4 linked regions of the Arabidopsis thaliana genome follow. The protein of the gene in region 3 purifies or fractionates together with the protein of the main gene of each other region. This does not show direct contact. Each region holds a gene or a part of one and is shown on either strand. Other genes may lie near its edges.

Region 1 (5,511 bases), 9.5 Mb from region 3:
GTGAAAAATGAATTCTCACCTTGAGTGTATCAGAAGCCTTTTTGAGCTCAATTTCAAGCTCCATCATGGTGCTCGCTTCGCTCGCACGAATAACAGCAGCCAAAGCTCGTATAGCCGCGACGGCTTCAGCCAGATCCGGTTGTTTTCTCCAGTTATTGAACTCTTCAATTACATTAAACGACTTCTCGTTCCCGAGATCAGTTACGGATAAGTCATGCTGGGCATCGCCTGAGACGCCGCCAACGGCGGCTTGAGCTTGGGCTAGCCAGTCGCTTGTAATGACACCGTGATGCGCCGCGCGAGTTTGGTAATAAGCGGAGATGGAATCAGGGTTTTGAAAAGGACCTCGTGTTGTATCCGCCATTGGAGGTGAATTCGAGCTTCGTCGCTCGTCGAGAATAAACGACGGTGATCTTCTCCACATTGATTTTTTTTTTTCTTGAGAAAATTCTTCAAAATGGAAAAATTGAAGATAATATACTGTCGCTTTCTCCAGAAATATCATATGAAAAATAAATATAAGGCCCATTAATAATATAAGGCCCATTTATAAGCCCAATAAATTTACTAATTTTCATATCTTCATATGACATGCCATGGAATGGAAGTACAAAATATTCTAAAATTAAATTAGCTGATCACAATTGCCTGATCAAATTCAAAACACAAGTTTTCTTTTTTTTAATAACTCAAACTGATCACACTTTTCTTCAAAAGGGTCTTTAAGTTCATCTTCATGGTCAGGTCCTTTTAGTTGCGGAACTCGTCCATGAAGCTCTTGTGGAACTCTGTCAGACGATTCACTATCGCTGGAATCTTGTCTTCTTGTGGAAGTATTGTGCATCTAAAGTGCCATGTTCCAGGAACCTAAACCACAATGAATCCAAAACCCATTATTCAAGTTCGATCCTTTTGTAAGACATTTAAAGTTATGAAGATTTGGTTATATTTTACCTGTCCAAAGCCAGAACCAGGGACTACAACTACACCAGTAGCATTGAGAAGGCGTTTGCAGTAGAACGCATCTGGTGCAGTTTTTTCAGCCTCAGCAGCTTCGATAGCCTTTTGAGGAAGGTTAATTCGCGGGAAGAGATACATTGCTCCTTCGGCTCTGTTACATGTAACACCTTCTAAACTGTTGAGAGCGTCTTCCAAAGTCTGCAAGTTCATTTTCAAGCTTGTGACATTATATACAAAGAGACTGAAAAATGTCGTTAGAGGGTATTGTAATCTTCGACTAACCTTTGCACGTTTAGCCATGGATGAGAGAATTCCATCTCTTTCTGCCATGTATGAGTCATATGAGTCATCACCAGGCTGATCAAATACAATATTAGACTTTTTAGTCATAATCTGTTGCAAGAACTTAGCGAAAACCGATTAGAGAGAACTAGGGTGTTACCTTGGGTGGGCTCATGACAAGGCTAGCAAGAATTTGACCAGAGATGTTAGAACAAAGATTCACAGAAGCCATTTTGTATATCTGTTCTCTTACATCAGAAGTGAATCCAGTAACCTCCATGTAACCTCCTCTTTTTCCACATTCTCCATAATATCCTATCAACAGAAGAATATTAAAAACAAAAACCCCATTTTTTAGATGACAAGCATTGGACAGTAAAAGTTGTTCTTTTACCTTTGGAGACTGATTGGAACGAGACTAACGAGATATCTTTTTCTCCATAGCCCAAAGACCGAGCCACTTTCTTGAAAGAATGGAACTTTTTGTCAGGGACGTAAACATTTTCTTGGTAGACTTCATCAGCTAAAAGAACCAAACCCTCTTGCTTGCAGAAATTAACAATGTCACGCTGGTTTTCTTCCGCAAGAACCTAACCAGAATAAGAACGCAAGATTAGAAGAATGTTACATTTTGTTAGGCTAGTCTTGAAAATCTGTTTGTACCTGCCCAGTTGGGTTACCGGGGTTTATGACAACCAAGGCCCTTACAGAGATGCCCTTGGACCTAGCTTCCTCTAGTTGCTTCTTAAGGTCAGATATTTCCAGTCCCCATCCTGTTGCTTCATCAAGATAGTACGGAACCTAAGAAGTACAAATTTCAAAAACTTGTACCAAAAAACAACATTACTCCATGATGATTATATGAACATACCAAAGATCCACCATGAAGGGCAATTGAAGCCGAGTACAATGGATACTGAGGAATCGGGGAAAGAATACCATCTTTCTCTGAGCTCAAGAGAAGTTGCATCATCATGTGAACCTATAGAGTAAAAAACACCAAAAACACTTAGCATGAATCCTTTAAAAGAACTTACTCTAACTCTATGAGATAACGTTTTCGTTTTGATTGTTACCGCTGGACTTGCACCATCAGTCAAGAAAATATCATTTGGATCAGCAGGGAAACCATCACGTGCTTCGATTCCAGCTGCAATTACATCACGTAAACCCTTGATACCCTGAGGCAGAACAAAAAATGAAACATTCAGCAACATAAGAACCATCTCAAGAAAGGGTTTAGGACTTTTAACTAGACTCTAATAACAAACCTGGCTATGACTGTAAGCCCCAGTTGCTCTTCCGGGAATATGGTCCAAAATCCTCCATGCTCGGTCAATTGAATCGGTACTGATAGCAGAGTAGAAATCAAATGTTAAGCAATCTTAAACCGTGAGCATACATGTCCTAAAGCTGAAATATAGCAAGGAAAACCTCACCTGAACAAACCATGGGTTTCAGACTCATCCAAAAGACTTGCGTGGTCACACAATGCGAGAACCTGAGGCATATAGATGATAGACGTTATATCTCTGTGGCTGATATGACAACCAAACTAGTACCAAAAACATTCACTTACCTCACGGAAGAACTTTATAGGCAGCTGACCAAGAGATTGAGGATTCCCAATGTTGCAATAGATTATCTGCCAAAAGTAATGAAGAATTCTAAGTTCCTTGCACAAAGAGTTTGAGAACAGGTAACATCAACACTAAACTAATCATAAATCCGTCAAAACTGCCGATAAAGAAAGAGATTTTACCTCATCAAAGGGATAAGCATCCTTATTAGTCTTCAAGTCTTCTTGTAACTTCTGTAAGATGGAAGCAAAAAGCAAACAAAAATCAATTAGCATTAAAAACAATTTTACAGATTTTGTTCTTGGTTTTACAAGACAAAGCACATGCATCTCTGACCTGAGCAATGTTGACAATTTCTCCTCGAACAGCATACTCACATTTCAGAACCTGTTCCCCGGAAAAGAAAAAAAACTCTTAGTTAACAATAAAACCAACTTCTCTGTAATATAAAGTACAAAGAAGTTATGCAAAGCTTGTCGATTTCATCGTTGGGAATCACAACGAGAAGCAAAGGATAAACCTTTGGCGTTAAATCAGACAACCACAGTAAAAAATTGAAACTTTTTTACTAAATTAGAAACAAATCCAGATCAACCCTGAAACCCACAATTCAAAAACGCAATAAACCAGCTAGAGAATTAGAAACCGACCTTGGGATTGATGGAGTCAAGAGTAACGGGAAGAGAAGAAGTGGAATCAGAAGCAGACATCTCCGAAGTAGAAGAGAAGAAACGAGACAGAGCAGGAGGAGAAGAAGCAAGGGGACGAGGTTGAGGAGAGAGAAAGCTTGGACTTTTGTGGTGATGTTGACGACGAGAATGGTCGACGAGACCTTTAGCTTGGTTAATCAAGAATCTCCGCATCTGTGAATCAGCTTTATACTAGGAACGTGCTCTTTAAGCCCTAGGATTGAAAATTCTCTCACGAGGAAACAAGGGTCCCAATATCCAGTGCCTTGCACACCGAATTTTGCCTTGTCCTCCACGCTCAGAAATTGCTTTTTCGTTTTTTCTTTTCGAAAATCTAATTGATGAAGATATTTGTAGGGGTTTTTTTTAGGCGGCTAATTTTGTTGATTTATCTGTTAAACACACGACTAATCCCAAAAAAAGACATGTCTTTTATCAAAAAAAGATGTCTGAAGTCTATCTTCCGTTGACTTAATTATCCAAAAGGACCAAAATTGAATAATCCAATCACAGTCGTAATCTAATTTGGGGATAAATAGATACTTATAAAACCTACAGCTAATTTGAAAGTTATAAATTTTTAGAAATCTCTAAATTTAAATAAATCACAACAACATGTAGCAGCACATTGCTAACGATGAGGTTTTTTTTGGGCTACATAATTGGGCCCTAAAAAGGTCGGTAAAATCGTGATTTAAAGCCCATTATTTGTTTATATCCACGTCAACAAAACGATATCGTATTAGGTTGGACGAGAATAAAACCCTAGGAATTAGAAAATTTGTACAACGTCAAAACATCGAAGATTTTGATCCAACGTATACCAAGAGTTTCGGAGACGACGTCGTTTTGTCTCTGCGCCGCGTTCTTAGTCTGAGCTCACGCTTGTTCGTTTCTCCTCTAACGTCAACTGTGTTTTTGCATCCTCAAAGGTTTGTGATACACCTTATTGTTTCTGTTCTTTTGTACAAGCTTCACATGGATTAGTGTAAAGTCTTAGAATTGGGACTCGGAATTTATTGTTATGTTTTAGGTTATTCAACCCAGTTATGGTATCGTTTTGAAGTAGAGGTAGAAACCCTAATTTTTGGGGTCTGTAAATTTGGAGAAAAAATTGAACCTTTCCCTTTTTTGTTATATTGTGTAATTTGGGACTAATAGTTCTTCGAAGCTGAGTTTTTTTGTGTGTAAATTTTGTAGGGTTTAACATAGTTGGGGCTAGGAATTTTCATGGTTTCTGTTGGTTCTAAATCATTGCCATCTAGGAGGCACAGGACCATTGAGGAAGATAGCTTGATGGGTGAACGAGGAAAGTCTAGTAACAATCACAGTGAAAGGAATAAGGGAATGCGTAGGAAGGACCATAAGGGTAACCGTGGATTTGATGTAGATAGCAGCAAGAAGAACCAATCCGGTGGTGCCCCCAATGTAAAGCCAGCATCAAAGAAACACTCCGAATTCGAACATCAGAATCAATTTGTCAGGTAAAGGAGATTTTTAACCAAGGGCCTTTGCTCTAATTTATAGTCGAAATTTTGTTGTTGTGAGAAGTGGTAGTGATTTGGGTGTATCTTTTTCAGGAAAGAGATTGATCCAGAGACTTCAAAGTATTTCTCTGAGATTGCCAATCTCTTTGATAGTAATGAAGTTGAATTAGAGGAACGTTCAGTAATATGTGGAAATGCCCTTGAAGAAACAAGAGGGAGGGAGTATGAAATTGCTACAGACTATATCATAAGTCATGTCTTGCAAACTCTACTTGAGGGATGTGAACTTGACCAACTCTGCAGTTTCATACGAAATTCTGCTAGTGTGTTCCCAGCCATTGCAATGGATAGATCTGGTTCTCATGTCGCAGAGTCTGCTCTCAAATCCTTGGCCACACATCTAGAAAATCCAGACGCCTATTCTGTTATTGAGGAGGCTTTGCATTCTATATGCAAGGTACTTTATACAATTTTTACTGGCTTTGACAATCATATTAAGGTATCCAGATTATT
Region 2 (5,188 bases), 9.2 Mb from region 3:
AATAATACCATTCATGTATCACTTTCTCGAGTTTTTCTTAAGGACTTTTTCTCGGATATGAGAAGAGAACACGATGAAGATTCCGTTGAACATATTTGATTTGATGATATAGAGAGAATATTCTTGAATAAGTTAAAACACTGAACACTATATAATATATAAACTTGTTACTTGTCAAACTAATTATTTACCGAGTAAAAAACTAAGCAAAGGTTTGTTTGGTTTCTATTGGCTTACAGAGAGAACCAAATGCTTGGTTAACAAAGGAAAAAGCAATCAATCATCAATGTTCTTTTGTAGTGATTAGTTGTTGCAAGAAATCTAATCTAATTTAAGTATTAAGAAAGAGAGTGAGTGGCGTCATAGAGTTTACCTATTCAATAAGATTTGGTGTTGATGTGGGGGATGATGAGAAAGGGACTTGTAGAGTAGAAGCAAAGATTATTCAAGTTAGGTGGTGGAGACATAACTATTCATGTGGTTTTATTGGTACCGACGCAGAAGTTGGTTTTGCCTTTTTATTTTTATATATATTAGATAACGAATTTAACACGGGGTCTTGATGATTTTGTAATCACATGTCGACATTTTTCTACTTGAGACAAAGAAGCTGATGATCTTTCTCTTAACTACTCTCTGCTTATTTCTCTAACTTTATCTCACAGAGTGATATCCGAAGCTTCTTTTGCTTGGTGTCAAATTGAAGTGTGGGAAACAAAAGTTGGCAAACTGGTGAAGCAATGGCTTTACACTTGAAATGAAAATACAAAAAAAAAAAACCAGAAATATTTTTGGTAGCAAGTTAAAAAGATTTGTGTAGCCTTGCCTTCTGATTTATTGAACCAATCATCTCCTTGGGAAGCAAGATTCTATGGAAGTGTTACTTTGAGTTCTTTTCTGTCTGCTCCAAACGACTGCAAATTTCAATGGAGGAAAATGCGTAAATCTCTAGATTCATATGCCAACAACTACCAACGCCACAGGGTTACAAAAGAAATAAATAGATGTGAAAGAGTGGGATGTGATAGTACCTCAACTCCGCAGTCTTTCACGTACATGTTTGTGAATAGCTCAGATGCATCTGGTATCGGGCTCTCCTGAAACAAGTTAAACAGCAAGGAATTAGTTCGTGTTTTGATAAATAACAAGGACAAAGATAGAAACAATTAAGATTATTACCTTGGCCTGAGCTACGGCGTCATCTACTTCTTTCCTTATCTCTTTCTCCATGTCCTTTAATGTCAAAAGAATTTTGTCATTTCCATAGTCAAGTTTGATGGTTGTATGTATAATTTTTTTCAAGCTTTTTGTCTGGAATGGGAAGGTGGTGAACAGGGTACCTTAAGCTCTTTTTCGGTAGCTATGTCATGAGTTAAGAGCAACTTTCGCACCCTTTCAATTGGATCACGCACCTAAAGGTAACACCGATGAAAACTTTACAGATTAAAAAGTTTCAAATTGCATATGGTTGGAGCAGTAGTCTTACAAATGAACAAAGAACTAACCTGTCTCACGCCAGAGATTTCATCACGAGTACGGTAAGTGCTTCCTGGGTCAGACATAGAGTGACCGTGGTATCTGTAAGTGTCCATCTCAAGGATCTGCGCAAATAATGGCAATGGTATGTTGGTCATAATCACTAGGTAGAGAATGGATTATAAAAATACGATAAATGTCAACGCTATGTGATTGAATTCACAAGATCCAAAATGCTTGTCCCATTTGTGTTGGTGACAAAATGCAAAAAAGGAAAATTGGTTGGAAGCTGAAGTCAACATGGTATAATTTCACTTCATAAGTAGGTACACACCAAAAACTCCAAGAGATATTAGTGATATCTACTTATCTAGTACTTTTAATAGAAATCCTAGGAGCTTGTCAATCACGCCTGTCACACTCTCCCGGAAACAGCAAACAAATTAACAACATAGGTACTTAAGAAGTCTTGTTTTCTCCAAATAAACCTCGTTCAATCCAAATCTAGGCTAGGTAGAAGTTACCAGCTAACCATTCTCCCCAACCAAAGTAGCATCACACATGCAAGTAATAAATGATTCTACGAATTCTTAATTTGCATAAAATGCTAAGAGTCATATTGATTAGGTATCGATTTCATAAAACCAACAGGAGCAGCTGTAATACTTACAATAGGACCATTCTTGAGAGCATGCTCCTTGGCAAACTTGCACGCCTGTTTCACAGCCAGTGCATCCATACCATCCACCTAGAAAACAAAGCAAAAGATAATCATTCGTTAGCTTTAAGTTCACACTCTCACCAATCAGAAAAACAACGGATACAATTCTATTGGGTAAAGTAATAAAAAACTGAAGCAACTTCTGTAAAACAACAAAGATAGAGACTTTGGAGACAATTCCTTTTGGTAGTTCTCACAAAGTTACACTTGATCCGAACACACAACTGTGAAGGTTTGTCCTTTCTCATTCAATTTGTGTCTAAAACCCTATCCTCACTACCTAGCTGTTCCATAGTCGACCCAGTGGTCTAAAACACACAAGGAAACCCTGTATCAACTAAAAGCGTGCTATAGACAACTCAGTCTCATCAAAGCAAAAGCATTGTAAAGCTCAAGATCATGCCAAAAGACAACTCAGTCTCACCTTCAAGCCAGGAACATAATCTCCACGCTTGAAATAAGCCGGAGACTTAGCCGACCTCCATGTAGCCGTTCCCATTCCATCTAAACATCAAACAATCCAAATCAACACAAAAGTCTCAACAATTCCACCAAACAAATTACAATTAACCAAAAAATAAACTCACAATGGTTATTCTCGCAAACAAGAATCGCAGGCAAATCCCACAAAGCCGAAATGTTCAAGGCCTCAAACAACTGTCCCTGATTCGCAGCACCATCACCATACAAAGCAAAAGTCACAGCCTCATCCTTATTATACTTCTGAGCAAAAGCCAAACCACATCCCAATGGAATCTGAGCACCAACAATCCCATGTCCACCATAAAAGGAAGCATCTTTCTTATAGAAATGCATAGATCCTCCTTTACCATGAGAACAACCAGTTTTTCTCCCCATAAGCTCAGAGAAAGCATCAACAAGCTTCCCACCACGACCAATGAAAGTACAGTGATCACGATACGATGTGATAATCGCATCTTTTTTGGTAATCGCCGCTTCCATTCCCACCGCTAAAGCCTCTTGACCATCGTACAAATGACAGAACCCACGGATCAGCTTCGCCTTGTAAAGAGAATCTGCTGCGATCTCCATCCTCCTCATCCGAGCCATGTCACGGAAAAAGGCTAAGATCTCCTCCGATGAAGTCTCGACGGAGCGTGACGGTGATTCACATAGATGCGATGTGAAAGGGACGGCGGTTTCGATTGTGATCGGTGATGAGTCTGTGGAAACATGACGGCGGATGGAGGAGGGCAAGGCGGTAATCGCCGGCTTTAGGAAAGTGTTGGATCGTGAAGAAAGTCGTGATAACGCCATCGCCGAAGCTCTCCGATTTGCTTTTAGAAATTCTCTTTTTTGCAGTCAAAAATCGAATCTTTTTAAAGTGAGGGAAAGAGTTAGGAGAGGGCGAAGCGTCGTTTATGGAAAAGGTCAAACCTTTTATGGTCATTTGACTCATTTCTATATAACATACCATAACAAAATGAAATTTTTGATAAATGTTACAACAACATACAAAACTTTACAACAAGAGAGTGAATAAAGACAAACTTTACATATGTAACATCATTTTTGTGAGTGATTGTTTTCTTTTTCAGTCACAGACAACAAAAAGCCAAATCCTTTGTTGCTTCTTCTTCTTATGAAGATAGAGAATGCAGTTTGGCTCTATCCGGTGAAGTCAACAATGGAGAATTGCCACTTTTGTTTTTGTTTTGTCTCTGTTAAGTTGGAGAGTGAATGAACAAGTTGAGTTGATTTGGTATCCTTCTTCCAGATTGTTACAGGCTGGTCACAAGAAGTTATTTTTGTAATATTGTAACCTCATTTGCCTTACCCAAGAATCCTGATTGTGGCACAAAGTTTTTCTTCTCTTTTTAACTCGCACCAACAAATCTTCTGTTTCTAGTACATAGGAGACCTGCAAGAGATTTTCAAGAACGTGCTTTCAAGTGCTGGTCTCTCATGGATATACTCATAAGCGGTAAGCGTGATATAGGGAAGAAGATAAAAGTGTTACCTTTGAAGAACCGCAAGCTATCTTACACTCCAAACCATTTTTGATCTTAACTTCATCTGTGCTGTATAACTGTTCATCTTCACGACAAACTTTGCGCTTGTTCCTGGAGAAAACGAAAAATGGCATTGGCTTTGATGAGTGACCCACTAGGTTTCAGAGATCAAGGGACAGTCATTTGTTCATGTTTTACATTTACCTATTTAAATAGATTCTGCGATCCTCCCTTGCATTTGGTTGTATGGAGAGGAAGTCATTGTGGAGATAAGCTGCAAAGGTCGGGTCAATGGATACAGATGTCACATCGGGCTTATCAAGACCGTTGCACATAAGCTGAATAGAGAGTTTCGCTGGGGTTGATAATCTCTGCATACACATGAGGTTTTGGAGTCCAAAAGCATGATCAGCAGTGCATCGACAGAATATAAGTAGCTAATGTAAGATGCAGCAAAAACTTACACATTCAATACGGTAAATATTCTCATCAGGGAGGAGGACACGGGTATTATCGTAATACACAGCATCAAAAATCGTTTCAGGCCTTCTGGATTTCTCATAAAAATAAAGCTGAAGAAGCTTGTTGTCCATCTCATCAGCTACTACTACTTGTAGCTGAAGAATGACCACACGTATGTTAGTAAAAAGCAAGTAAAGATAGAGAGGTGAATACATAGAGAAAACATCAAAGAGCAAAAATACTCACATGCTTGATGAATTTATGGATCAGTTTGTCCAATGTGAAGAGAATATAAGACTGAGTCCCGATTATCGCTCGGCAGTCATCTTCAAACTTGGCATTATCAGATGTACCATCAAGTAAGTTGTAGAGTGCAGTCATGAATCTGTTCCACATTAATTAAAGTTATAAGTATGGAGCACATATGAATCCCAGAAACACACACAATCTCTGCAATAAAAAGCAAATTTCACCTAGCATAGGAATCAGTAGGATTTTTGGTATTTGAGGTCCTCCACTTTCCTTCCGGGGATGATGAGTTAACTTTTGCTGATAG
Region 3 (5,025 bases):
TTTCATGTTCATCCCCATACCATCTCCTGAAGCTAAATGCTCAAAAGCTTCCTCGAGGTTTCCAATCGCGCTCTCGTATTCATCTACGCATGACCTGTAAGCTAACTTAGATCGAGGGTCGACTCCTCCATCGATAATAGATTGGAGTTTCTTTAACGTTTGTGTAGCTCTCGCTTGTGTAGAATCAAGTGTGGTTTTTGCCAAGGCTTGAAGATTAGGCGATGCGAATTTCGTATTGAGGAACTTAAGACAGAAAGATGGATTTAAGGTTTTGTCACAGATTGTGCTCATTTCTGAACTTGTGATTGCGTATGATGAACCGATCAAGAGAAGAAACATGAGAGAAGACAAGAACGCATTGTTCCTTAGATTCGCAGCCATTCTTGTTTTCTCTAGTAATTTTAGTTTTTCCAAGTTTGTGGTAGAAAATAATATTCAAAGCAATGAGTATTTATATTAGAGTAATTTACGTACAACGCATTAGTCAAAAACAGAATCAAGAATAGAAGTTGACATGAACGATGAAAAAAGTTTTTACCATTGTTAGAAGAATTGCAAATATAGTATACAGTTATCATTAGATGATAACATCAAATTGTATGTACTTATCTAATCATGGAGCTAATTGAATTAATTTTGGTCTCTTAGTGAATGCATAATGTATATCCCCTAATTATTAACGTATGAACTGACTAATCAATTTTTGGGTTTAGTGTAAACCAAAAACTAGAAAGCAAGCCGGAAGCAATAAAAAGTGTTGAGTGAATGTTGAATATTTTATTAAAGATCAGGCTTAACACGTATCTGAACATTAACGAATAAAAACACAGTATAAAGGACAAATTGAAGGCTAAACCACAGAAAACCGAACCAAAATCCAACCAGGTTAAGATATCGATTTGGCTTGTCATAGGTGGCTCACTCCTTTAAGGTCTTCCTAGTGTGGGATGTGATTAGATACATAAGAAATCAAAACCGCAAATCAAAAATCTAAACCAAAACCGAACAAAACCAAATCAGACCAAAGTGTGACATACCTTGTTCCCTTTTAGATGTGAATAGGCTTGTCATAGGTGGCCATGGCAGCTTCCTTAAGAGCCTCGCTCATAGTGGGATGAGCATGGCAGACTCGAGCAATGTCTTCACTTGATGCATCGTAGTTAATCGCAAGAACAGCCTCATGAATCAGCTCTCCAGCGTTTGGCGCCATAATGTGAACGCCCAAGATCTTATCAGTCTCCTTATCGGCCAGAATCTTAACCAATCCTTCTGCATTATCAATAGCCTTAGCTCTGCTATTCGCCATAAACGGGAATTTCCCAACCCGGTAACTCACACCTTCTTTCTTCAGCTGTTCTTCGGTTTTACCAACCGAAGCAACCTCAGGATGAGTGTAAACAACACCAGGAACCTTGTCATAATCAACATGACCGTGTTTGCCTGCTATGAACTCCACACAAGCAACACCGTCTTCTTCGGCTTTGTGAGCAAGCATTGGTCCTGGAATCACATCTCCAATAGCATACACGCCTGGGACATTACTCAAGAATCTATCATTCACCAGAATCCTCCCGGCTTTGTCAGTTTCCACTCCGATTTTCTCCAGATCAAGTCCAGAAGTGAACGGTGTTCTTCCCGCTGAGACAAGTACCACATCAGCTTCCAGAATAGACTGCTCTCCTCCTTCTGCCGGTTCCACTGTAAGCTTCACACCATCAGAGGAGGAATCCACAGAAACAACTTTAGTCTTGAGCATGAACTTCATCTTCTGCTTCTCAAGAGAACGTTGAAACTGCTTACGAATTTCACCATCCATCGAAGGAACAATATCTCCAGCAAACTCAACAACCGTAACCTCAGATCCAAGCCTACCCCAAACAGAACCCATCTCAAGCCCAATATACCCCGCACCAATAACAATCAATTTCTTCGGAACTTCCGATAGAGACAACGCTCCAGTCGACGAAACAATCTTCTTTTCATCAATCGTAATACCAGGCAAGGACTTAACATCCGAGCCAGTAGCAACAATGATATGTTTACCTTTCACAATAGTGTTTCCTCCATCAATAGTCTCCACCGAGACTTCATTTGGGGAAATAAACTTACCATATCCTTTGACATAAGTCACCTTATTTTTCTTGAACAAACCCTCAATACCACGAGTGAGGTTCTTAACCGCATTATCTTTCTGAGCCAACATAGCAGGAAGATCTACCTCAACAGAAGAGACCTTAATACCATGGTTAGCGAAGGAATGCTTCGCCTCATGGTACATATGTGAAGAGTGAAGCAGAGCCTAATACATCAATAAACACAACCAAGAATTTAGTAATTATGGAATAACTGTGCTTAAGCAAATGATAATCATCACAAAAGACAGTAATTAACTCTCAAAAGAATCATCCACAAAAGGAACAGATCAAAATCGTCAACTATGATCAACAAATTGATTGAAGAAACGAGAGATGATTCGAAATTTGACCTTGGAAGGAATGCAACCGACGTTGAGACAAGTACCACCGAGAGCGCCGCGTTTCTCGATACAAGTGGTTTTGAGACCAAGCTGAGAGGCTTTGATCGCGGCTACGTAACCACCGGGACCGCCGCCGATGATGACGACGTCGTTTTCATCAGATCCTGATGAGGCGAAGCCACGGGAGAGGGAAAAGGAGAATCTGAGAGCGTCAGTGGGAGAGTTTGATAAGTTTCTGGTGAGAAAATACGCCTTCCTCCTAGCTAAACTCGCCATCGCCATTGTTGTTTTAGAGAGAAAGAGAGACTTGGCTCCTTGTAGAGATGAACAGAGCCGGCAAATGTAAAGAGGAGAGGCTCTCTTAGAACCCTTTTTCTCTTTTTAATCACAAATATTTTAATATTTCCTTAATTGACCAAAAATATAGATAAGTAAATAAATCATTTATATGAATGAATACTTGAATTTCTAATCTCAATTATGTACACTAAATATTTGAAATTGATTACAAAGTTACCTTAATGCACACTTGATTTATTATTATTTTCTTGTCAACATTTGAATTACTTTTATAAGTTCTAGACTTCTAATTCATATGTAAAGAAATACACCAAAAAATATTTATGTATATGTAATGAAAAATACTGTATTGTAAAAATTATCAAAAAATATACTCATCAGAAATATATGGACATGAAGATTGTTGGAGGAGAAGAAGATAAAGAGATAAAGATAGAGATGATGAGAAGCAAGTAAGGACAGGATTTGAGGCTTTTGAGATAAACCTCCAAAACCTTTCACAGTCAGAAAGAAACTCTCTGAATTCCACATATATGGGAGAGAGATTCTTAAACCAACCTCCAAAATCTAGATTCAAAATAGTTAAAATTAAAATTCCTTAAAACAATCAATAATGGGTACAACATCACTAATCCTCAAGAACAAAAATGAAATCCTCTTAATCAGTTTCAATAATCCTACCAAAACTTCAGGCTGGTTTTTCTCTCTATCTCTCTCTGAAACAAACCAAAAAAACAGATCAATCAAAAATGAGAAACCACATTACAAACAAGACCTTAACTCTCTATCACTCTCTACGTCTCTTATTTTATCTCATCGAATCGAATCTCAAATTAGAGAAATAATGGTTTGATCGGTAACACCCGATCCCTGTTGTTTGTACATACTGCCAAAAACACTGCTTTCACTCGCCTGCAAGCATTGCTTGTAACCGAGCTCGGGCTTCGTCAGAAACACAGAATCTTAATCTTCTTCTTTGCGGTTGTTTAGGTGAAGACGGAACTGAGGAGAAGCAGATCACTATAACCGTCATATTATCTGATGACTGAAGCCTCGCTGCTTCTTTTCCTAGTTCCATCGCACATTGTCTCGGGTCACCATGCCTCCTCAATCCTTGCCTTACATTACTCACTGCATTCTGGCTTGACAACACATCCCATATACCATCACATGCCAAAATCAAGAACTCGTCGTCCTCTGTTAGAATGATCTGTCCAATCTCTGGGTCTGAAATCAGTGGTGAAGAGGAGTCAGTGAAAGGATTCTTCAGTTCCCAATCTCCAATGGCACGCGTGACAGCTAGGACTCCGTTGAGGTATCCATCCTCAAAGTATCCTCCTAAATCTTCAATCCGCCTTCTTTCTGGCTCATATGTTGATCTGTGATCGAAAGACATATCAACAGCCACTCCTCTCCTACATAGCACTGCACGACAATCTCCAGCATTAGCAACAAGAAGATGTCGTCCGATTATGAGAGCGGTCAAAGCGGTTGTCCCGCATGAACCACTGACAATGGTTTCATCAGCCATGGCAAGATCAGCCAAAGCAAAAGCCTTTCGGTGAGAATTCTCCAGTTCTTCTAAGAAAAACGCGTCCACAATGGAGGGCATCTCTGGAAACACAGCATCTTGGAAAAACAATCTAGTCAAGTTCTCCTTCATGAAAATTGCTGCCTCAGGCCCACCATGACCATCAAACACACCATAAAAAGCACTTGGTACCGAGAAGTTGTAGGATCCAAGGTGAGCTGACAAATCATCTATGCAAATGTGTTCATCCTCCATGGTTTCTCGACTTCGAATGTCAGCAAAGCTCCCTGAACGTATAGTTGGGATAAAGTCACTGGCGGATTCTCCAATGGTAGTAGTTACACAACTCATGCCCTGTTACAACAAATGTACATAAGAAGGTTTGTTTAAGATTCCTGAACTTGGCACAATTAAAGAAACAGAACAGCCAGAACAGAGCATCAGAGTCGTTCCGCTAACAATGTAAAATTGATTCATGAACACCTAAACTAATTCTTCATGCAAAGGTATAAACTTTCCAAAGCACAACACTAATCTTATCATTTTCCATTGTCTACACGAACCTAATCGAAGAGGGTATGTAGGATTCAACATTATTATGCAATAGAGAACAAAAAGAAACCCAAAACTAATATAAGCCCTGATGCAGAATCGGATCATTATCAGAATTTCAAGCAACGGTCTAATCTCAAAATCAAATTATAACTCCTAATCTAAA
Region 4 (7,781 bases), on a different chromosome or scaffold from region 3:
GTATATGAACCAAATGGAAAAAAATGAAACATGTGATCAGAGTTAACAATGTAGACCAGCAGTTCTGGTTCTGGATGTGCACGTGGGTTGGTCCGAGGTTTATTATGTAGTAATCCAAGATTCATTTGGTAAACAGTTGGATCTTTCTCACAGAAGAAGTCTTCGAACATCCTCAAAGTTTGAACGCAATTCAGACATAAACGAAGCTGAAACAAAGCCGGTTTCATAGAAAAAGCAATGAGTAACAAAGGAGAAACACAGTGAAATATGGCAGCAGCATAACATAAAACTCGAAACGAAGGGATTTATGAATGTTCCATTACCTCCAACTTGTCCATCAAAGATCCGATGATCAGCGGATAACGTTACATTCATTTTTGTCACAACAGAAGGCTTCTCAATTCCTGAAACAATGACGAAAACTTGTCATACCATGATCAGAATAGCAACCCTAGTTGAAAACCCAAAAGGATTCTACTAGCTCACCATCTAGTCCAATAACTGGCTCAACCACTTTGTTTCCTCTACCAACTGCTAGAATCCCAGCCTGCAAGACAATTGATAGTCCTGAAGTTTATTATCCAAAAAAACACATCTGCATCTCTATAAATATTAAACTAAATCCTCTACACCACAAATTACAAACAGCAAAACTTAATCTTCAATCTGTGATTCAGGGTGCATCGTTAAGGCTATGATTACCTGAGGGGGGTTAATGATTGCGCAGAAATTATCCACAGGATACATTCCTAGATTTGATATGCTGCAAAACGATAAAGTATGGTTTTCTCGTTAAGTAGGAAAAGTTACACATGATTGATAATTCCGTACTATGCTTAATAACTTAAAAATGATGAATACCTGAATGTCCCTCCTTGAAACTCATGAGGAGCAAGCTTTCCAGATCGAGCCTTTTGTGCCAGCTCCTTAACCTGATCCAAAAATCATTTGACATATTAAAATTCATAACTATAGCGATCAACAACACATGGAATATGGTAAGAACTGATCAAACATATGTGCCTCTATAGCCTTCCATATTCGTTTAACTTCAGAGAGAATAAAATTACCTCTAAGGAAATAGCAGAAATAGATTTCTGGTCTGCATTCTTGATAATTGGAGTCATTAAGCCCTGCAAAAAATGCCAAGATGATGAGGGATAAACTGTTGAAATGATCAGAAAATCAAACACACAAGTGTACCTTCTCAGTTGCAACTGCAATTGATATGTCAACACTGTCACACATAACGATATCTCCTTTCTCAGCATCCCAGAAAGCTGCCAGACATTGAGAAAGAGAACTTTAAGCAACCATAAGAAAGGTTTGAGAAAGCAGAAGAGAAAAAACAACCACACGATTCCAATCCACAAATCATTACATCAAACTCACACCAAAAAATGTCCTACTTGTAACGACTAAAACCGAGTCTAAAATGCATTACCAGTCATATTGAATGTTACAGTATTACAATCTCAAAACATCTTTACTAAATACTCTCAACGGAGGTAAACGGCATTGCAAGAATAATCCAACATGGAAGCCGAGTTTCCTTAAAGAGGATGAACTAAGGTTTTAATCTAGCGCATAGTTAGGGATGGGAACAAACCATAGTTTAGTTATTTTTAATGAAATCATTTACGAGGAGAAAATAATTTCTCACCATTAGCTTGTCGTACATTCCTCAGTGCGACTGCCACTGCTTTAATAACTATGTCATTGACAGACACTTTAACGCCATGGTTTTCTGTAGATCATGAAAGTACAGTTCACTCTGAGCCTCTCAAGTTGTTAATAAATACCAGGATGTGTGATAAGAGCAGTCTACAAACCTTGAAGTTCTTTTCTAAATGCAAGAAGAGGATCCAATACAACATCTGCAGGCAAAATAAAATGCTTAAACAGCAAATAAAATACACAAAGAAAATACAAAGGTTGTGAGTCACCAACCTGATTGTAAATACAAATGGGGTATCTTCTGTTTTGATTCCAATAAACGTTTTGCTATAATCTGCCAAGTGGGGAAAGTAAAACAGAATGCAGCAGGACATATTTCATCATTCTACATAGAGAGTAATAAATATGTTAATTTACCTTGCGAATTTGACTATTTGGAAAATCTTCATAATTATTATCTGACTGTGTCACAGAAGGCTTCGATGTGGAGGAGGATTTAGACGGGGTCTCCTTTGATGGTTGCTTCTTCTTCGTAGACGCAGATGATTTAGAAGCTTTTCCAGAAGCAATTGCGGCCACAACGTCTGATTTCAATAATGTACCATAGGGACCCGATGCCTCAATTGATGATGCCTCCAATCCATGTTCTAAAATCAATAGCTTTGCAGCAGGACTGATCTTTGTGAAGCCTGCTTTCCTCTCTGTAGGTTTATCTACAACACTGTCAGGGACTTCTTTAACTGTATCAACCTCAGAACTACCTGCGGAAGAAGACTTGATGGCTTCAATACTTTCAGCATCTTCAACCTACAGAGAAGAACGATTAGCTTATTATATCCCCCAATCTGCAAGCAATTGTATTTTCAAAGATTTTTTGTGCAGGCATAACTTTTACTTCAGGCAATATATAACGTAGCATGGAACTAGAAGAGTGTCGACCAATTTATGCACAAAATGCATTACACACAGGCTAGTAAAACAAATGGATTAAATATACCAGTCGTAATACAGTTTTCTGGCATAAAGAATTCAGTCAATGTACTTTTGAACTAAAAGACTTACTATTAGGGCAATCGGCTTTCCCACCGCCACATCCTTGGAACCTTCAGGAATTAGAATCTTAGCTAAGTACCTACACAAAAGTCATCCATCAAGTTATAGAATCTATTATATAACTTCACTCATTTGATCCAGGAAATCAGTTTTTGTAGAGGAAGCCCATACTCATATGAAAACTACGAAACATGAAATCAACCTTTTAAATCACTATCAGTTCAAGGGGGAACACTTGGAGAGACCTTACTTTTTGCAATTAACATTTACTTCTCACTTAACCAAACAAGAAAAGAAGCAATATCCACAGATAGTGAATGCTATATAGAATGAACATCAACATACTGCCTAGAAAAAGAAATAAGACGACAAGATGTTAGTTATACCCCTCTTCAAGGCTTTCAAATTCCAGAGTGGCTTTGTCAGTCTCGATCTCACCTATGACATCACCCACTTCAATCTGTTTCATGAAATGAGAAGAATCAACACAGGCAAGTGCATAAACATCAGATTTCTTGTGGTGAAATTACAATGCCAATTTACTCATCGGGTCACCAGAAACTAACCTTGTCACCCTCTTTTTTCCACCATTTGGCAATATTACCTTGGTTCTGCACATCAATAAACAAATAATTCAGAGTCTTAGGATAGAAAGCTGAATGCCTTCTCCTCCAAAAAAAGCTAGCATAAAATATGAAATTTCATACCATTGTAGGAGAAAGTGCTGGCATTTCTAAGACGACATGTGGGGGAAGATCTGATGCATCGGGCTGAATGGAACTTTTTTGTTGTGTGCTTTCGTCAGGTTTCATCACTTGATGAGCTGATGTTTCCTCTTTACCATCTCGTCCACCCTCTATGGTAGCAGGAACGTTTTTAATGTCGTCTTCCTCCTCAACCTTGGTTACAATTAAATAGATAAGATTAAACTCTTATCCATCAACCTTATGTAGCAAGATGTTGACCAAAACTGTAACCAATATACGCTACACCCTAAACCCTACGATATATCATGTTTGGGGACATAACATGACAACTCAGTATGGCAAACGGAAATATTTAGAAGAAGAGAGCATGAGATTGGATCTTGGACATTTTTCCACAATAAATATTGACAACGAAATACCATACATCTCTATGATTTGTCAAGTCTTCCAGAATGTAAACCCAGGAAACGAAAGAAAGTGAAAGAGGCCAAGAGCAGACTAGATAAACAAACAGGAACTCCTAATAAGCGTATGTTGATGCATGCATCACCTTTTGTGAGATCATACTTGGTTTCTATAAATGTATAAGACAGCCACTGTGCTTACCATTATTGCAATCGGTTCATTAACAGGGATATCCTTTGATCCTTCAGTGACTAAAATCTTGGCCAGAAATCTGCAGAACCATGCTTCATAGTAAGCCAATTGACATTTTCATATACTTATAGGGAGTCAGATATTTGAATTACCAAGGTATAATGAAATAAAAATACAAATCAAAACATAAAATCATGAACCGTCTTTTTCAAAATTACCCTTCCTCTTGACTCTCAAATTCTACAGTGGCTTTGTCTGTCTCTATCTCACATAGTACATCACCCACCTCTACCTGTCAGGAAGAACCAAATTCATACCTGTTACTGAGAATTTCCACATTCTATATTTTCTTTGCCAGCTAAATTATCAATTTATCGTCTTTCTTGTATAATGATCATTAGTAGACAAAATCATAAAAGTCGACTGAAATTTTGTCAACCAAAAATAAGAAATAACCCACCTTGTCACCTTCTTTCTTCATCCATTTTACAACATTTCCATGACTCTGCAAAAGCCCAACAAACATAAAACAATGATTGAAGTCCAAATGTCTTGGAGGAGGCCAAAATTCTTTACAAGATTGAAGTCAAATTTCCTACCATAGTAGGAGACAAGGCTGGCATTGCAAGAACCGTCTGTGATATGGGTCCTACAACCCAAAGAAAATAATAATTTAATGGAAGAATCTTGTATAATTGATTGCATCTCCTGTCGCTGTATCTAAGGTATGATGGAAGCACAAACATCAGAGAAAAGAGTGATATGGAAGTTTTTGCACCTGCATCAATTAACATTTCTATTTTTCTACAAGTTAAGCGAAAGTTTCCATTAATTATTCTTATCACCCACTTAACATCTGTGTTGGTAAGTCTTATGGCTAAAACAATTTAACAATTGCCGACAGGTTGCTCAAATCAGATGAAAGTCCCATAATCAACTCGTTTAGTAATTCTATAATGGAATTGCTTGGTTGACTCATTTATGAAGATCATTATTCCATAAGATGACATAACAATCAATGAATACCTGTAGATGAAAAGTTTTGCACGCCAAATCGCAGCTACAAGAAAACAATGTATGTGAGAAACACGGATAGATGAAAGTGAAAAAAGAAAAGAAACAGTACTAGCTGTTCACTTACAATGGGCTTTGGAGAACTATCATCCATTCTTGTAATCAAGTCTATAGAGGCAGACCTGAAAATGTAGAACAGACAAAATCTCAAACTAGACTAACAATCTAACACATACGAAACGAACTAAATTATAACCTTAAACTTTGAATGCCTACGATCACACTGACTTTTTCTATAAAAATAAATCTTGTCCTCAATTTGTGATATGGAACACATACCTCACACCATTACTGCTACTAATTTTGTCGTCCAAGTGGTATAGTCCATTAGAAAAGCTGAATAAGAAAGTTCATTGTCAAATGTATTGGAAAGGTAAAGAGATCACACCAGTTTAAGGACACACTTGTTCTTCACTGCGAGTGACGTAAAATGGAAATTACATCTCACAAACTAGAGAAGATAAACCCGTACTACCAGTTCGATAAGAAAAAATGGATAGTTCAATTGTTCCAACAAAACCAAATTTGGCATTCTTAAACATCACTATACAATACGTAATAAGAACTCCAAAAAAAGTCAATGGATGATTGCGGAAAAGGAAAATGAAATCGAACTAAGAAACAGTTCAGTCATCGAATTGCAAAGGATCACACATGGAAGAAGAGCAACATCAAAATACTTTGAAAGAGGCGGGACTAGATAGAGAGAATAAGCGTACCGAGAATGGAATTCGGAGGCAGGAGCGAAAAGACGAGCTCTGAGAAGCGAGGAAGTCCGGGCGATCGCAGCGCGCCGGAAGAGCGGAAGCACCATGAGAGCACTTGGAGAAAAGAGAGCAGGGTTTGACAAAATCACAAATGAGAGAGACGATGATACCGAATCGTAACACTTTTGATTTTGGTCAGATCGCAGCGACGACGGCACGAACGATTCTATGACATTAGGAAAGTGTTCATAATTCAGATACGGCCCGGTCCGGCCCGGATTAACAAATACCAGTAATCTCTACCGAACCGGAAATTCACACTTTTAATCACATATTTAATTGTCCGGTCGAGTGACGAACCGAAGTTTATTAGACATTAAAAGAGTGCCATCGATTAAGGGTTTGATTGGTTTGTTTGTGCGACCACCTTCTACGTTTCCGAAAGGTCGCGGTTACATAAATACAGATTCTCTAAATTGTTCTCTATACACTAAAGTCTTATACCGTTCAAGTTTATAACCATTTTTAATCAGAAAATAACATGTATCATTGTATCAAAGCTTAACGGTAATGGGTTTTAAAATAAATGTTTTACAAATTAATAAGAAGTGAACAAAAAATTTCTCTCTACAATTATCAACTTGATTCAAGTTAAAATAGTTAATAGAACATATAGTATTTTGAGAATCTGTCTCAAGGTTGAGTTTTGGTAGTAGTACACCAGAGATCATCGTTGTTGTTGGACTTATGTGAATCAAATGGAAGCGATTTGACCAGCGAGGGGCGAATGGGACATTATTCTCTAATAGTTGGAGGTTGATGCTTCTGGATGGTTTGTTCTTGATGGGACGCGCATGGGAGTCGAATCTTGAAACAATAGCTAGGTAGGTGATTTTCGAGACGACATTCTTAACGTTAATCATAATACGATAAGATGTCAGAATAGTGAAAAACCAAAAACAAAAAATTGGGAGTAGACAAATAAGAGGTAGAATTGTGTTCTTATACTTGATGGTGAGCTCAGAAAAAAAGAGAGACTTAAGATGTAGAAGCTGAGTATCGTCGAATGTAATAAGCGATATATGTTGCTTGTTGAATGCAAGCCCAATTAGCGATATCTAGTTAAGGAGAACGACATATAGATCAAATCTCATATATCAAAGGTATATGAGCTAGTCTTTATGAATTATGGGTGTGTTGTAATATATCAAGAGATTCTTTCGATCTGTACAGATGTAGTGAACGAGTATTTATAAGAAATATATGACTGGAACTAGTGACAAAAGGTTGAGTGAGTTGGTCGAATCGTTTAAGTTGTTGGATAACAAATAATCGAATACGTTATATTGTGTGTAATTTCGGCAGATGGAACATGAACTATTAACACTACTAGATAACTTTTTGTGATGCGTCGTCACTTAGGTGGAAGAAGGCATGCACGCGTTGTCGAACAACACGTTTTTCTCCATACATGCACATAGCCAGTCTCATGTGGATCGTCAAGCATTTCCAGCATCATAGGAATTTGATCATTTTTGCTTGAAACATGATTTGTTCTACGCAGTATCAAAACTTAGTTTTGAGATATAATACTCTTTAACTATTGTATATAAAATTTTAATTGACCTATGTGATACTATTAATATTGTTTAATTATTTATCTATATTTTTCTTTCTAATTTATATGTACAAATTGATTTATTTATTTTTAATTTCTTACTATTGTTATTCTATATAGTATTTTTCTCATCTATATCCTCATAATTTATTTGAAATCGTCTCTAATATTTTGTTTGTGTTAATTATCTATATAAAAGTTTAATTCCTTTTATACTTTATTTGTAACTAGTATTATACCCGGTGCATAGCACCGAAAATTAATGTTATGATACATTCTTTTTTTGAATTTAAATGTTATGATATGTTACATATTATCGATATTTATACATGAAAAATTAATTTTATA

Evidence for each region.
Region 1: the proteins of mtLPD1 (region 3) and ALAAT2 fractionate together in Arabidopsis thaliana (co-fractionation; one large-scale study listed by BioGRID). This does not show direct contact.
Region 2: the proteins of mtLPD1 (region 3) and IAR4 purify together in Arabidopsis thaliana (affinity purification with mass spectrometry, with the first as the bait; one large-scale study listed by BioGRID). This does not show direct contact.
Region 4: the proteins of mtLPD1 (region 3) and LTA3 purify together in Arabidopsis thaliana (affinity purification with mass spectrometry, with the first as the bait; one large-scale study listed by BioGRID). This does not show direct contact.

Annotation. Positions count from the first base shown.
Region 1 is NC_003070.9:27,231,811-27,237,321, reverse strand, and holds ALAAT2 (alanine aminotransferase 2), read right to left. Parts: upstream 3,848-5,511; 5' UTR 3,686-3,847; coding exon 3,473-3,685; intron 3,210-3,472; coding exon 3,159-3,209; intron 3,056-3,158; coding exon 3,005-3,055; intron 2,888-3,004; coding exon 2,822-2,887; intron 2,744-2,821; coding exon 2,682-2,743; intron 2,593-2,681; coding exon 2,514-2,592; intron 2,424-2,513; coding exon 2,280-2,423; intron 2,225-2,279; coding exon 2,114-2,224; intron 2,044-2,113; coding exon 1,906-2,043; intron 1,833-1,905; coding exon 1,637-1,832; intron 1,558-1,636; coding exon 1,403-1,557; intron 1,318-1,402; coding exon 1,243-1,317; intron 1,159-1,242; coding exon 955-1,158; intron 868-954; coding exon 751-867; 3' UTR 533-750; downstream 1-532. Other genes in the region: AT1G72340 (NagB/RpiA/CoA transferase-like superfamily protein), read right to left, coding at 20-505; PUM23 (pumilio 23), read left to right, coding at 4,742-4,995, 5,092-5,455.
Region 2 is NC_003070.9:8,559,908-8,565,095, forward strand, and holds IAR4 (thiamine diphosphate-binding fold (THDP-binding) superfamily protein), read right to left. Parts: upstream 3,596-5,188; 5' UTR 3,476-3,595; coding exon 2,785-3,475; intron 2,702-2,784; coding exon 2,622-2,701; intron 2,225-2,621; coding exon 2,147-2,224; intron 1,602-2,146; coding exon 1,506-1,601; intron 1,413-1,505; coding exon 1,341-1,412; intron 1,234-1,340; coding exon 1,180-1,233; intron 1,098-1,179; coding exon 1,032-1,097; intron 915-1,031; coding exon 870-914; 3' UTR 513-869; downstream 1-512. Other genes in the region: SNL3 (SIN3-like 3), read right to left, coding at 3,799-3,879, 3,996-4,079, 4,179-4,281, 4,375-4,541, 4,635-4,787, 4,879-5,017, 5,106-5,188. UniProt on the Arabidopsis thaliana protein: The pyruvate dehydrogenase complex catalyzes the overall conversion of pyruvate to acetyl-CoA and CO(2).
Region 3 is NC_003070.9:17,716,384-17,721,408, forward strand, and holds mtLPD1 (mitochondrial lipoamide dehydrogenase 1), read right to left. Parts: upstream 3,117-5,025; 5' UTR 2,759-3,116; coding exon 2,486-2,758; intron 2,300-2,485; coding exon 1,049-2,299; 3' UTR 1,038-1,048; exon of another isoform or gene 938-1,037; 3' UTR 510-937; downstream 1-509. Other genes in the region: PMEI1 (pectin methylesterase inhibitor 1), read right to left, coding at 1-381; AT1G48040 (Protein phosphatase 2C family protein), read right to left, coding at 3,681-4,661. UniProt on the Arabidopsis thaliana protein: Lipoamide dehydrogenase is a component of the glycine decarboxylase (GDC) or glycine cleavage system as well as of the alpha-ketoacid dehydrogenase complexes.
Region 4 is NC_003074.8:19,358,458-19,366,238, reverse strand, and holds the start of LTA3 (Dihydrolipoamide acetyltransferase, long form protein), read right to left. Parts: upstream 6,034-7,781; 5' UTR 5,923-6,033; coding exon 5,828-5,922; intron 5,445-5,827; coding exon 5,388-5,444; intron 5,231-5,387; coding exon 5,176-5,230; intron 5,095-5,175; coding exon 5,061-5,094; intron 4,912-5,060; coding exon 4,634-4,911; intron 4,540-4,633; coding exon 4,495-4,539; intron 4,327-4,494; coding exon 4,253-4,326; intron 4,114-4,252; coding exon 4,044-4,113; intron 3,630-4,043; coding exon 3,438-3,629; intron 3,342-3,437; coding exon 3,297-3,341; intron 3,191-3,296; coding exon 3,117-3,190; intron 2,810-3,116; coding exon 2,740-2,809; intron 2,485-2,739; coding exon 2,095-2,484; intron 2,012-2,094; coding exon 1,951-2,011; intron 1,878-1,950; coding exon 1,833-1,877; intron 1,748-1,832; coding exon 1,664-1,747; intron 1,281-1,663; coding exon 1,204-1,280; intron 1,134-1,203; coding exon 1,071-1,133; intron 933-1,070; coding exon 862-932; intron 764-861; and 8 more.